Tamandua tetradactyla: one gene and its partner. The protein of the gene in region 1 purifies or fractionates together with the protein of each later gene. This does not show direct contact. Links are inferred from orthologs where the notes say so. Each region holds a gene or a part of one and is shown in the gene's direction. Other genes may lie near its edges.

Region 1 (6,891 bases):
GCGCTGAAGTCTCGGCCGCCCACCAGGCGGAAGCCCCAGGGCGAAGGGCCGCGCAGGGTCACCGAGTGGGGCATCGCGGGCCGGAGCCGCAGCCGGAGCCGGAGCCGGACACTGAGGAGCCGTCGTCGCCGCCGCCCGGGCCCCGCCCCCGGGCCGCCCGCCCCCGTCGCCCCGGCCCCCGCCCCGCTGCCCGCGCGCCGCGATTGGCCCCGCGGCCCGGCCCGCCCCGCCCACCTCGGGGGGCTCTGAGGACCCGCCCCTCAGCCCCGGCCGCCCGCAGCCCGGAATCCCCCCCACCCGGGCTTCTGCCCCGCGGGCCGTGGACCTGAGCCCGACCGCGGAAGCTCAAAGCACTAGGCCCTTTGAAGTCGTTCTATGGGGCGGCGCCCCTGCCCGAGGAGGGATGGAGGAGCTGCCCTGCTGGGGGATGGGGCCTCGCCTTGCTTAGAAACCTTTTCAAGGTTCTGGCCCGCAAATTTCTAAACAGCCCTCGCAAGCTGGGTCGGGGACACAGACCCAGGAAAACGGCAGGCAGGACCAAACCTGGGAGTGGGGACGGAAAGGGATCCCCTTTGGGAAGGCCAGGAAGGCTGCCGGGAGGAGGTGACCCCTGACTTGAGTCGAGAAGCAAGGTGTCTCCGTTATCCCAGGACACTGGGGTCTTGTTTGGCCTTTCCCTCCTAGGTCATCCTCCCAGTTGTGGACAGCCCCCCTCTCTCCTCCTTTGCAAGGGGCTTTGTTTCCCCAGGCTTCCGTGAAGTAGAGTAGCTACGGCGGCTGGCGCCAGTGTCACAGTACCACAGTGAGGGGAGTGGAAGCGCATTCACTCCTTCATTTGGGGCCTTTCCTGGTCTCTACTCTTGACCACTCTTCACGGGAGGTCCTTGGGCAGTGTTCGCAGGTGCTGCTGTCTGGCCGGGGCCCTGCCTTCCCTTCTCTGGCTCTCCTGGGCACCTGTATCTGGCCACATCAGGGTGACACTGTGTGCTCTTCCAGACCCTGACAAGGCTTATAGGCTGTGGGGCGAGATGCACCCACCAGGTCTCTCATACCCTCCAACGAGGAGAGCTCCTTGTGGGGTCCAAGCCCAGGGCAGGGGGCCAGATGAGGGGCCCTTCAAGGTGGGATGCGGGTGCCTCTGTGGGAGGCAGACTGCAGCTGTCTGCTCAGCTGGGAAAGAACGGCCTGAGCGGTGTGTGTGTGGCAGGTGTGTGTGGTAGGTGTGTGTGTGGCAGATGTGTGTGTTTGGTGGGGTGTCTGGGCTCACACAGTGCTGGCCATTGGGCTCCCAGCATTGTGTGACGGAGCAGGTTTCTGCTCAGCTTCTTTCAGGTTTGGGTCCCATGGGGACAGAGGTAGAAGGGCCAGTGGGAGAGTTAGTTTCTGGATGTCTTTTCTGAGGCCCTCGGGCCAAAGTACCCCAGGACTTGATTCCACTGAATGGGATGGGGGAGGGGAGCAAACAACACTTAGCTAGGTGCACAGCATGGCTGGTAGTCGGAGGCGCTAAATGGTGCAGAGCTTTAGTTGCAGGTGGGGTGGTGAGCCCTTCTACCCAGGGCATCCCACAGTGGATTCCTGAAACTTCCCCTCAGGTGCTTCCTTCTCCCAATTTACACAACCCCAGGAACTGCTGAAATCCCCCTACCCACCTTGCAATCCCCCCACTGCTTTCCTGTTTACTTCTGTCTGGGGAGGGGTCCAAAAATGGTTCCCCCCGAAGGTGACCTTCCTGGTTGCCCAACCTCTGAGCAGGGCAGTCCACCTCCAACAGCTTCTCTCACAGGATGGGCATAAAGGTGGGGTGGTGAGTACCTCTCTAGAATCTGGTACCTAAAATTTCCTTTTCATTGTGCAGTTTCTGGGGCCCATCGGGCTGATGTGGGATGTGAGGTCTAGGCCAGCCACCCTTTACTGTGGGCTCTTGAAGACAATCCTGATGTGAGAGCACATCAGAGGCCCACTTCTAACTGTGCCCTCTCCCAGGGTTGGCGCCCGGGCCAGGCTATGCTGCTGGGGTCTGGGGCAGCCCTTCCTACAGCCTACACCGTAGGCCCATTCCTCGAGTATGCTGGGGTCCTGGACCACAGGTCAGACCAGCTGCAGGTTCTCTGGCTTCTCCAACTCCTCCCCAATACTTCTGCCAGGAACCCTTTCCCTACTTATGTGCTTGTCGTGTGGGGTCTTGGGGGTTTCCTGGGCGGCTGGGTGCGTGATGCTGGGGCTCCAAGCCACAGGCAGTCACAGCTCCAGAAGCTTCTCCATGGTGTGGGCCGGGTAATCGGGTCATGTGTCCCCTCCACGCTGGCGGCCGTCACCTGTTCACTGCCCAGCCCACCATCTGAGCTGCTGGGGCTAACCAGACAGCTCATTTCATGCGTTCTTCATTCATTCAACAAATCCGTATTGAGTGCTCTCCATTTGCCAAGGCCTGTGCCGGCCCAGGCTGGGGTTGGTCTGTGTCTCTCTTATTTACTTATGTTTCTCCAGCTCCCAGCACAGAGTCCGGCACACAGAAGTTTAGAAACATTTCTCATGATTAACATTATCACTGTTATGTAAATTATCTCATCTCCTCCTTGGCCAGGGAGGCAATGAGGGGAATAGGTGGGCAAGGACTTCTGCTCCCACCACCTAGGAGGCCACACCCATTGGCCGTGTCCTTCAGGGGAGCCCCAAGTGGCTCCAGGCGTGATGCCCACACCCTCGCTATGGGGTCAGGCCTGTTCAAGGTCAGGAGAAGCCACGGATCTCTTTCCTCACAGGGCAGGCTGGGTTGGCAGGCTCCAGCAGGAGCAGGCACCCTTGGGAGATGCCTTTGGGCTGAGCCTGGGGAGAGGGGGCAGTGCAGCAATGTCAGGCTGAGGGCAAGGTCAACCCAGGACCAACCCGGGAGTGGGAGCAGTCCTGGGTGGGAGACGGGGTGGGGCTAAAGGGGCAGTGCACACTCCAGGATGCCTCCCTGCAGGGAAATGGGGTTGGCCAGAGAACTCAGACCCTGCCTTGCGTTTCCCTAACCCCCTGGCCATACATCTCTGGGTGGGGTCTGCCCCGCTCAAGCTCAGCTCCTTGGAGCCTATACCTCCCTCCTTCAAGGTCCAGTCCTGTCCCTTCCCAGCCCAAAGCCTGAATTCCCCAGGGCCTCAGAGGAGACAACTGGAGAATCCCCCACCATTGTGAGGCCCGTCTGGCCCACCTCTGGGCTTCCTGGCCTCTGCCACCCAGGGGACTGCTCTCTAGGTGGAGAGCCTGTGAGTCCCAAGGACAGAGCTGGATGGAGGAGCCGTGTGTGCTCCTACAAAGCTGGGCCTTGCCCCTTTGGTGCTGGAGTATGCTGGGGTCTTGGACCACCCCAGGCCCTGAGCAGGCTCTAAAAGGGGTGGAGGAAGTGGGGTGGGGTGGGGGCAGGGCTCCAGGCAAAGTCCAAAAGTCAGAGGGTGCAGCCTGTGGGTGGGATGGGGCTGACTCCTAGGAACCTCTGGGAGGAGGGACTCAGTCAAGGTAGCAACAAAGCTGGCGTTTTATCTGTATTTGGTGTGACAAAACACACAGTGGAGGGCGTGCCTGGGACAAAGGGAGTTTCCTAGCTTCAGGCCTGTGCCATTCGATCCCTCAACAAATACTTGTTGGGTGCCCAGCCTACAACTGGCCAACTAGGTGCAGAGGGCATGGTGGGGGCCCCTGGCTGCCATGCCTCCTTGGGGGGCTGGGAGGCCGGGCGCCATGGAGGGAGCCGGTCTTTGAGGGCCCGAAGGGGAGCGCGGCGGATTCTGCCAGCAGGAGCCTGACTGCTGGTCCTGAGCCAGGTCCCAGAGCAGACACAACTGGCTTCCCTGAGAGGGAAAGTAGATCTGATTCACTTCAGGAAACTGAGCCTCAGGGGGTGAGTAAGTCCCCTTTTCCCCAACCTCACACGGCTCTTGAGTGCCAGGGCTGGGGCTCAGACCCATGCTGGCGACATGAAGCCATGCCCCTGTGGCCGGGAGCAGACCTGTCCCCACCTTCTGTGCCCTCCCCACGGCATCCTCGTCAGACCTGCTTCATCTCTGTTTTCACAGAGAAAACCCGTCTGCTCTGGGACCCAACCAAGGGGCTGCCACACAGCAGGGTGGGGACAGGTTTGCCCAGCTGAGCCCAGCGAGGCCCTGCCCCGTGGCCTGGGAGTGGAGGGTGTTGGGAGAAATGGCCCCGCACAGCGGGGAGAGCCAGAGGGGCCCCTCCCAGCCCAGGCACGGAAGTGGTAGAACAGCCTGTCAGCGCCGGCAGTGTGGCCCTGTGAGTGTTGTGCAACTGAGGCCTCAGGGAGACAGCTTCCAGAGGCCCCGAGAGCCCCGCCCCTGCCCCGCAGGAGACCCCTCCCCGTCCTCGCAGGGCCCCCACCCTCATGCAGGTGAGGGAGCCTAGGTGAGGGTGCAGGCAGCCTGCCCAGCATCCCCGCCAACTTCCCCCTTCCACCTGGAGCCCCTGGGTAGAGACCCATCCCAGTGGTTCTCAGGCTTCCAGCTCGCCCTGTAGCTGGAGGCCCCGCCAGCCCCTAGTCCCTGTGAGGAGAAGGCGCCTGCTTTACAGGCCGCTGGGCTGTGCTCATCCCGGGCCCTGGACAGTCTTGGTCCTGCCCTGAACTTTGACCGTGCTCAGACAAAAGCAGGGGTATAGGACCCTGCCCTTCGCAGCCCAGGAGAGAGAGATGAGGCTACTGGTGCTGGTAAGACTCAACCAAAAGTGCAAGGGGGACAAAGAGAAAACATGCCTGGATGCAGCACAGAACTCCAGCTGCATCTGGAGTTCCTCACACAATTGTGGCCGCTCGTCTGTCAGCTTGGGTCACACGACAGGGCCCGGCTGGCCCACTGTCCACAGCACAGCTTTAGCGCCACCCCCGTTCACACATCCACGGACCCCACGCGCTGCAGTGGCCTGGCCAGGGCGGTCAGATTTCCTGGTTGAGGACACTCCTTGTGTCTAGGCTGCTGGAACTTACATGTAGGCCATTCAGAGGCCTGGAGAGGTCCAGGCCACTTACCCTATTTCTAGGCCCCCAGTAAAATGAAAATGGAAGAAATGTGAAAATAATGTTTCAAGAGTTATGGCACGTGTTATTTATGCTTTTGTTAGTTCGTTTATTCAGTAGATATTTTTGAGAGCCTCCCTTGCGCCAGGTGCTGTTTTAGGGCTGTGTTGAATAGAAAACATTTGTAACATATATGCAAAATGTGTAGCTTCAGGTGGAGATCACTGCAAAGATTTAAATTCCAGGATGCCTGGCCGTTGTCCTCAGGGTGGATCTCCAGAGTTCCCAGCCGCCAGGATCACTGGTATACACTAAGCTGCTGTCATCTGTCCCCAAGGGGCCACAGTGTAGCTTGGTGGAGGCAGCAAAGCTCCCTCAGGAGTTCAGCTGGCATAGGCCTATCTCCAGCATGCCCCTGGCTCCACCCTTTCTATCTCCTCTGGCTGGCCCATTCTCCTGCAACACGCTCCTGTAGTTACTGCCCAGTGGTGACTGCGGTGCCTCTCCTGGCTGTCACAGGCTGGCGGGGACTGTTCAGGTTGACCTGACCTCTGGGCCTGGCTGCCGGACTCTCCAGCTGTGGCCACTTGGTGTGAGCCTGGCCACCCGGGTTGCTGGGATTGTGGGGCAGAGACATGCCACAGGCAGAGGAGTCCAGCAGCTGCCAGCTGGCCCAGGGGTCTGGGAATCCAGGTGCAGGGGGCCATGGGGATTACAGCAGGAAGAGCTGGAGCCAGGTCTTCGGGGGTGAAGCTTTGTGAGGCTGTTTGAGGTCCACCAGAAGAATGCTGGAGCGGGGCCCATGAGACAGATTCATGCCTTGGGTGGCCGTTTTCCTAAAGCCATAGAATCTTCAAAATCCTTTCCCACTGCCCCTTCCAGGGCTAGGTTGATAGCTGTGCAGACTCAGCCTCCACTGGTTGGGATGAGAGTCCTAAGTGTCTGGTGGGGGCTGAATTCCACACACCCGACATCTCCCATACTCACCCATAACGGCGAGAGAATCTGTGTGACTTGATCGTCACCAAGAGGGTGAGGATCAGATTGATTGCTGCCTGGGATGTCACCATATTAGTAGGAGCTAGGACAGTAGAGACCACCCTCTTCCTTTCAAAAAGCCAGGATCCCTTCAAGAGAAGGTATAATGAGAACTTTTCTGTACCAACAGTTAAATAAGGAGCTGCCTCATCTCAGGGAAGAGGATGGGAAAAAGGTGGATTTGGGTTAGAGATGCACTGAGTGTTGGAATGAGTCCTGCCCAGCACTCTGGGTCAGCAGGTCCTGAGAAGTAACTGTGTCTAGGGTCAGGACAAGCTGACTGCAAAAAGCTGTGACATTGGGCATCCAAACATGAAGTGTTGTTGGCCTGGAGAAGGAACACAAGCATTCTCTCAGAGAACCATTGTATTCCAGAGCCAGGGAGAGATGGAGAGCCTCCAGAATCCTGTTGCAAGGTGCTCTAGTTTGCTAGCTGCCGGAATGCAATATACCAGAAACAGAATGGCTTTTAAAAAAGGGAATTTAACAAGTTGCTAGTTTACAGTTCTAAGTCCGAGAAAATGTCCCAATTAAAACAAGTCTATAGAAATGTCCAATCAAAGGCATCCAGGGAAAGATACCTTGGCTCAAGAAGGCCAATGAAGTTCATGTTTCTCTCTCAGCTGGAAGCGTACATGGCAAACATGGCAGCATCTGCTGGCTTTCTCGTGGCTCTACAAAAGGGACTCTCTCCAAAATATTTCCTCTTTTAAAGGATTACAGTAAGCAACTCCACTTTCAATGGATGGAGACACATCTCATTGGAAATCATCTAATCAAAAGTTACCACCCACAATTGGGTGGGTCACATCTCCATGGGACCAATCAAAATGCTCCCGCCT
Region 2 (7,689 bases), on another chromosome or scaffold:
GTGGTGAAGAAAGGAAAAAGATAAAAAAGTAAGAAGGAAAGGAAGAAAGGGGATGGGATGAAATGAGTGCAAACTTAAAGCCATAAAGGGATAAATAAAATTTCAATTAGTTCTCTGAACCAACCTCTTTAATGAGAACCTTCTCTACCTCCACTGTGAAGGGGTCTGGGGACACACTGAAGGACCCAGCAGGTCCCCCTGTCTTGGGGAACTGACCCTGCAGAAGGCAAGATGGGTGGGGCACTCAGGCGGGGTGAGTACACCCAGTGAGGACGAGGGGCTCCCGACAGCACCCCCCCACCGGTCAGTTTGCATACCCAGGTCACGTCCAGGCCCTTCCCGCTCCTGCCCATCCCACCTCCCTCCCCGGTTCCTCCTTCCCCAGGGGTCCCCCTTTGGATGATGTGTGTGTGTGTCCGCGTGTGCGCGCGTGTGTGTGTGTGCGTGCGTGTGTGTGCGCGTGCGTGCATGTGTGTGTGTGCGTGCGCGCGCGCGCGTGTATGTGCGCGTGTGTGCGTGTATGTGTGTGTGTGTGCGCGCGCGTGCGTGTGCGCATGCATGTGTGCGTGTGTGTGCGCATGTGTGTGTGCGTGCATGTGTGTGTGTGTGTGTGTGCGCGCGCGCGTGTGTGTCCTGGAGAATGGGGCAGGGGTCTGGCCAGGACTGGAAATCAAGGCTTATCTCCAAGGGTCTGGACTCAGGGCTCACACTACGGGAGAATGAGGTAGAGCCTGAACCTGGGTGAAGATATTTGAGGGCTCAGGTCACTTGTGAAGAAGAGAAAAGGGAGAAGAGGGAAAAACAGGACAAACCAGAAATCCAGAAATAGAGGCTCCAGAGATGGGGAGGATGGAGCAGGAAGAGAGATCACACAGCAGAGAGAGAGGAGGGAGGCAGGGGAGGGAAAGAAAGAAAGGAGTAGGGAGTGGGGAAAGCCTAGGGAAAGAAAGAAAAAGAGGAGAAGGAGGCAGGGAGGCTGAGGCATCTTCTCTCTGCTGCCCTCACAGCCTCCTCCGAGGGGTAGTCTGCTGTCTGACTCCATCCCACCCCTCCTCACGCCTCAGTCCACTCCCAGCTGGTTTCCTCGCCCATCACTCTAACAGCTCACACCTAGGTCTCTAGTCCCCGTCATGCTGCTCAATTCGGTGAAGATTTTATTCTTTGTTGTACTAGTTCTCTCTGCAGCATAGAATTCTCTCTCCTTCTAGAACCCTCTCTTTCCTCGGCATTCATGACACCCACACCCCTCTCTTCCTTGCCCTCCTACTTCTCTGGCCACTCTCCCAGTGTCGCATGCTGGGCTCCTCCTCCTCCACCCAACCCTGCAGGCTCCGTCCTAGCCCCTCACCTCTGCTTTCTCCACGCACTGTCCCTCCAGCCCCACGGCTTCAGTCTCCCTGGACTCACGGACCCCGACACCCAAGGGTTTTCTCCCCATTTCCTATTCAGTATCTCACAGGCACCCAACACCCAACAAGGGCAAAACTGAATTCATCTCCCCCTGAACCTGGAAAGGAGGAATGGAGGGACGGAGGAAACTCTCAGAAGGTCCAAGGCCTTGGGTCTGAGGCTGAGGCATAGAAAGCTCCAAGCCCGAATGCTGGAAGCTAAGCTGCTTAGCTAAGGGACCTCAGGGCATAGGCCGTGAAAGAAGAGAGGGCCCACGCACGTGGGGTCTACCCCAGGCCCCTCCACAGGACACCAGGCAGGGCTCCAGGGTGGACGCCCTGGGGAGCTTCACCCCATGGTCTCCACCGCAGCCTCCCTCTTCCACTCCCTCCCTTGCTCTCCTCTCGCTCAGAGGGCTCATCTCCCTTGTCCAGCACCAAGGAGTCAGACCTGCCCCCCCCGCAGGGACTCCACAGGAGCAGGGATGCTGGGGGACACAGCCCTGCCCCTCCTTCTCAGGGGGAGGGGTACACAGGGAAATCTGGAGAGGGAGAGAACTCAGAGCTCAGCACTTTCCTCTTTCTGTTTTTCTTTTTGAGGAATTTTTTTCCTAATGCTGATGACTTTACCATTTCTTCAGGGGGGAGAGGAGATTTTGGCTTTTGCTCACCCCCCGCCCCCAAGTGCCAGACAAAGTCTTACATTCCACCCGAAGCCAGAGCTTCAGAGTTTCCTAAAGATGAGGTGGCGTCTCCTCCCCGATTGGGCCCACGCTCCCCGCCTCCCCACCCCCCACCCCGCCCCCAGTCTCCAGTCCTCAGTCCAGGCCAAGGAGGCCCAGCCAGGCTGGGAGGAGACCCCAAGCACATTCTTCCTCTCACTGTCATGCTGCAAAAATTAAAGACACATCTTCGGGCTGGGTGTCTGCCAAGTGTTTTAAGTCAAAAAGTGGCAAAGGAGAGCCTGGGCTTCAGCTCTTTGCCACGTGTAAAGGATGCTTGGGAACGTCTGCTGCAGCCTCTGGGAGTGAGGCCGGGAACTGGACACTGGCGTGGAAACTGTCACACACCACACTCACAGCCCACTCACTCCTGAGCCCCTGGGTCTCCAAACGCCCCCCAGACCGCCAGACCCATGATGTGGCAGCCCTAAGCCCCACCTCTGAGGCTTGTCTCTTCTTTAAGGTGGGCATGGGCGAGCCCCAGGCGGGGCGCACGGGGAGACAGCTGCAGGCAGGAGCCCTTCTGGCTCCACAGCTTCAGCATTGCGGGGGGGGGGGGGGGGGGGGGTGCGCGGGCCACACCCCTCCTCACGGAGCCCCCCCCCCCCCGACACCCTGCCTGGGTGACCGCCCCAAATGTCAGCTCCCTCTGCTCCCTGGGTGAGGGGCGCGCCCCTTGGGACTGATCCTTAGTGGGGGGCAGGACTACGGGTTGGTCCAACAACGGCCATCTCAGCGCCTCAGGTATCTGGACCTATGCTGCTGTCGCTGGCACTGGGTGGCTGGGGGGAGCAGTTGCTGGGCCACAAGCTGCTGCCACATGGTCAGGATAATTGCTGAAGGTCTGTCCCCCCATTGCTGTCTCCAGCCCTGCCTCTCTGGAAACTATATTTTCCCTTTAATTATAGCCCCTGCAGTCTCCCTCCATTGCCCCACCCGTACCGCTCATCCTGGCTGCCCATGGCCGACGTGGCTCCCTCCCCTTCTGTTCTTTTGGTTTTTTCCCCCCTTTGCCTTCGTTGCACAAAACCAGCTGGGGGAGGGTGTGGAAAGGGGCGGGGTGGGGGGGGGAAGCAATGGAATCTTGGATGGTTTGGGGGAGGCGTGACTCCCCGCTTCCACGTTTGCAGCTCTGAAGCTAGTGGGGGTAGGGGAGTCATGCAGGAGGGAGAGGAGCTGACGGGGCATTGCAGAGGGGCCCCGTTGCCCTCACTTAGGTCCACAGATTGGGCAGGATGATGGGGCCTGGTTAGACTGGAGTTGGTCTAGAACCCTGCTGGGAGGTTAGAATATCTGGGGAAGGCAGACACTTACTTCTGGAGGTATCTCTCCCAAATATAGCCTAGGAAACCACTTCTCATTTCCAAAGTAGCCCCCGACTCCCTTTCAGGGTCCAGATGACTCTTTCCTGGCTCCAGAGGCAGAGAACAATGGTCTGGATTTTAAGGCAGGAGGTGGGGTGATGGGAAACATCTCCATGAGGTCACTCAACCTCTCCTGCATTCCACTTCAAACCTCCCCCAGACACCCCAGGTCTCCCATACACCTGGAACCCTGAGTCCAGGTTCAACCGGAGAAGGGGCTATGCAGCTTCCAGAAGGGGCACCTTCCTTGGTCAAGCATTCTTCACCCAAGTTCTTTCTGGTTTGACTATGCTGGGTGGGAGGGTCTCTAACCAGTCCCTGGCCACAAGCCCCTCACACAATGATTATGGTGTCGCCCCACCCCCCCCAAGCTCACTCCCCAACTCTGGGTGAAGCAGCCCTAGCACACACACCCCAACCCCAGGGCCCCATCACCAAAGCTTCCTTCTGGAGACACCATGTAGTCACATTTCTCACCCAGTGCCTTGGTCTTGCCACTCCATCTCTCACAATCGCGCCCAGGATTTGGGGGAGGACACTGGAGCCCGCCCGTCTTCTAGCCTCAGGCACGGCAGAAGTGACATCCTCAAATGAAAATCCCCTTGGCATCCCCCCCAACCTGATTCTCAGTGTCTAGAATCTCTAACTTGTTCCTCAAATGTTCCCAAGCTCCATACCCCAACCGTACCAGAAGACACCCCAACGAGGGACATCTTTTTAATTCCTTGATTCTCCTCCTTTGGAGAGGTCCCCTGGCTTTTCCCCAGATGTCTCCTTATCTGTGTCGGAAGGTGGATGAGCTGGACCAGGAGGACCTCTCCCAGTCATCCCCAGCCCTCTTACTTTTGGGGGGTTGGCCACCCAGCTCCCCAATTGCCCTTCGGGCCGATTGGGAGTTCCAGAGAGAACAGCAAAGGGGCTCCCCCACCCACTCCTTAGCCCACACTACACTGAGGACCCGGCCGCACCCCAGCGGCGATATCTCTGGCCCAGGCTGGGCTGGGGGGCTGGGGAAGCAGTGCTGCGAAGGGGGGAGATGCGGGGTGGACTCCCTTCCCTTTCCTTCCCTCTTCCTCCCCCTCTCTATTCCAACTCCCGAATCGGGGGCCGGGCCAGGCAGCTGTGATTGGCTGGGGGGCGGGCGGAGGGCTCCCCCTCCCCGACGGTCAGGGTTCCTCCCAGCGTCGGGTCTGGATGGTATAAAAGGGGCCCGGGCTGGCCATCGGAGCAGACGGGAGTTTCTCCTCGGGGTCGGAGCAGGAGGCACGCGGAGTGTGAGGCCACGCATGAGTGGGCGCTAACCCCCTACCCCAGCCGCAAAGAGTCTACATGTCTAGGGTCTAGACATGTTCAGCTTTGTGGACCTCCGGCTCCTGCTCCTCTTAGCGGCCACTGCCCTCCTGACGCACGGCCAAGAGGAGGGCGAAAACCAAGACGAAGACAGTAAGTCCCAAACTTTCGGGAGTACACGGCTGCTTAGTATCGCGCCCTGCGCTCGGCCCCGAGGGTCCGCCACTTAACTTGAGACTCGAGATGTTCTGGATACTTGGGAATGGAAGGGAGATAGTGAGGCACCCTTCCCCGGCGCCCCGGGCGAGAAGGGAGTTCCCCTCGGGGGTGGGAGGTGGGGAGGAACTCCCCTCAGGAGTGGGAGATAAGGATGAAGCGCGGCGCAAACAGGCGCAGGGGGGGAAGTCCCGAGGGCGCACCGCCGAGTGCAATAGGAAAAGTGGGGGGTCTGGCTGCAGGGGGAGTGCGGGACGCGTTGAAAATAGGGTGGGGGCGCCGAACCGGGGGGTTGGAGCCCAAGACGTAAAAGCGATCAGGATGGCTGTGGGATGATTCATAAGGAAAGTTTGTTTGCCCTCTCTGCAGGCTAGACACGCGGGAGGAGGGGGCGCGGAGAGTGGGCGGGCTGGAGGCTGAGAAACTTTGGCGAGGTCTTGGCAAGGTGGGGTCCTTGCGTCCTCTGCTGACCAGTGCTCAGCACTGCGCCTCTCTGTTCAGCGTTTCCGGGCGCAGGTTCCGGGTCGGAAACACAGGGGTTATTGCCAGGCGTGGACTCCATCTCTAGACCCGGAGCAAGAGGCCGGGGACCACATAGCCCTCTGACTCAAAAGAATCCCAGGAAATTGGCCCCGCCACGTCCCCATTGCTTAGAGTTGCCCGCCACCTAGTGGCGGTCTGGGTAGTTGCTTGCGCGGTGGGCGTGGTTAACCAACTGATTCGTTTGCTTGCGGACTTTTCGTTTTTTTGGCTAAGAAGTGACCCAGAGGGTCTGTCTGCCTTTAGGAGACGGAGGTTGGCCTCGAGAGCTCTGAGATGTCTTGGCTCTGGAGATTATGATATATACTAACTCTAGGGTACAATTTCAAGTCTCTGGGTGGGACCCCACTCCTATAAGCCCCTCCCCATTCCTCTAGCTCCGCCCACGCCACCCCACCTGCCCAGGGAACAGGGCGAAATGGGGACTGGAGCTCCCTCCTCTCCTCCCACCCAACCCCCTTACTGTCTCCCCCAAACCACTCCCCGCAAGCCTGCCCTTTGGATAGGACGGTTCCTGTTCTCTCCTCCCCCCACCCACCCCCAACGGCTTTTTATTTCACTTGGCTTCTGCACCAATGGGCTGAGGTTAGAGTTGAGGGCAACCCTCGCCTAAAGTTTTGTTTAAATTCCTGAGAACTGGAAAGAGTTATAGCTATGCTGGCCAGGAGCCTCGGCGTTGTCACTGGCTCTGATGGGGAGCAGATGAGCTTTTAAGGATTTGGAGAAAGGTGGGGGTGGGTGGGGAGGCGGGAGAGTCGAGCATAAGGAGGGAAGTGGAAAATCTAAATGTGTCTCTAGGGTAGAGGGAAAGAGGGTTGGGGCCCCGAGGTGGAAGTCTCGGGCACCCCTGACAGCCCCCCTCTTGCTTCAGTCCCATCAGTCACCTGCATACAAAATAGCATCACGTACAATAACCGAGACGTATGGAAACCTGAGCCCTGCCAGATCTGTGTCTGCGACAACGGCAAAGTGCTGTGTGATGAAGTGAAATGCAGCGAAAGCCAGGACTGTCCCGGCGCCCATATCCCCTTGGGCGAGTGCTGTCCCGTCTGCCCCGATCGCAATGGTAGAGCTCCGGCCCCGGGGCTGGGGGAGGGCGGGGCCGCTCCCTGGCGCTGCGCCTTGCAGGCGTCTGCCTCTAACCCGCCTTGGAGGCGTCTGCCTCTAACCCGCCTCTCATTCTCCCCCTAGAGTCACCTACCGACCAAGAAACCACAGGAATCGAGGTAATCCTTTGCCCTCGAATTTTGCCACCCCACCCGCCGTGATTCCTCACTGCCCGCCCTTCTCTAACTCGACCTCTTTTGTTTCTTCTCCCCCAACCTCATAGGGACCTAAAGGAGACACCGGCCCACGAGGCCCGAAGGTAAGCCTTGCGCAAGCTTGCTCGCTCTCTCTAGCTCTCCATTGGATGGCTGCAGGTGGGCGTGGCCTCTGGCCGACATTCACCCCGCCCCCAAACTCTTCTCCCTTAGGGACCCGCAGGCCCTCCAGGCCGAGATGGTATCCCTGGACAGCCTGGACTTCCCGGACCTCCCGGACCTCCTGGGCCCCCCGGACCCCCTGGCCTTGGCGGAGTAAGTGGAGAGTGGAGGCATCTGGAAGGCTTCTGTCTGCTCCTTTCCCTCTACACTTTTTTTTTTACAGACGAAATAATTTCAAACTTACAGAAAAGTTGCGAAAATAGTGCAAAGACCTCTCATTTTGCACATTTGCTTTATCAGTCTGTATGTATATGCATTATCATTATTTTTTCTGAACCCTTTGAAAATTGGCGGTATCATGCCTCTTTCTTCCAAAATACTTCAGTGTGCATCTCTTAAAAACAAGAGCATTCTCTTACATGACCATAGCACATGACTACATTTAACATAGATACAATACTATTATCTAAAATAGTCTATATTCAAATATCGTCAATGTCCCAGCAATGTCTTTTATAACAATTTTTGTACAATCCAGGATCATGAATTTCATTGAATTGTCATGTCTCTTTAGTTTATTTTAATCTGGGGCATACATCAGCCTTTCTTTGCCTTTCTCAACACTGGTTCTTTCTGAAGAGTATAGGCCAAATGTTTTGTAGATCGTCTCTCAATTTGGGTTTCTCTGAAGTGTCCTCATGATTAGATTCAGGCGATGCACTTTTTTTGCAGGACTATCTCATAA

What was found. The genes of interacting proteins can lie anywhere in the genome.
Region 2: the proteins of P4HA2 (region 1) and COL1A1 purify together in Homo sapiens (co-immunoprecipitation; 3 studies listed by BioGRID and IntAct, counting the BioPlex papers as one, with this or other methods). This does not show direct contact. The link is inferred for Tamandua tetradactyla from reciprocal best matches to the Homo sapiens genes P4HA2 and COL1A1.

The regions. Positions count from the first base shown.
Region 1 is NC_135346.1:10,879,946-10,886,836, reverse strand, and holds the start of P4HA2 (prolyl 4-hydroxylase subunit alpha-2), read left to right. Parts: upstream 1-3,877; 5' UTR 3,878-3,883; intron 3,884-6,891. Other genes in the region: PDLIM4 (PDZ and LIM domain protein 4), read right to left, coding at 1-74. UniProt on the Homo sapiens protein: Catalyzes the post-translational formation of 4-hydroxyproline in -Xaa-Pro-Gly- sequences in collagens and other proteins.
Region 2 is NC_135332.1:31,352,350-31,360,038, reverse strand, and holds the start of COL1A1 (collagen alpha-1(I) chain), read left to right. Parts: upstream 1-4,676; 5' UTR 4,677-4,820; coding exon 4,821-4,917; intron 4,918-6,391; coding exon 6,392-6,586; intron 6,587-6,711; coding exon 6,712-6,746; intron 6,747-6,850; coding exon 6,851-6,886; intron 6,887-6,995; coding exon 6,996-7,097; intron 7,098-7,689. UniProt on the Homo sapiens protein: Type I collagen is a member of group I collagen (fibrillar forming collagen).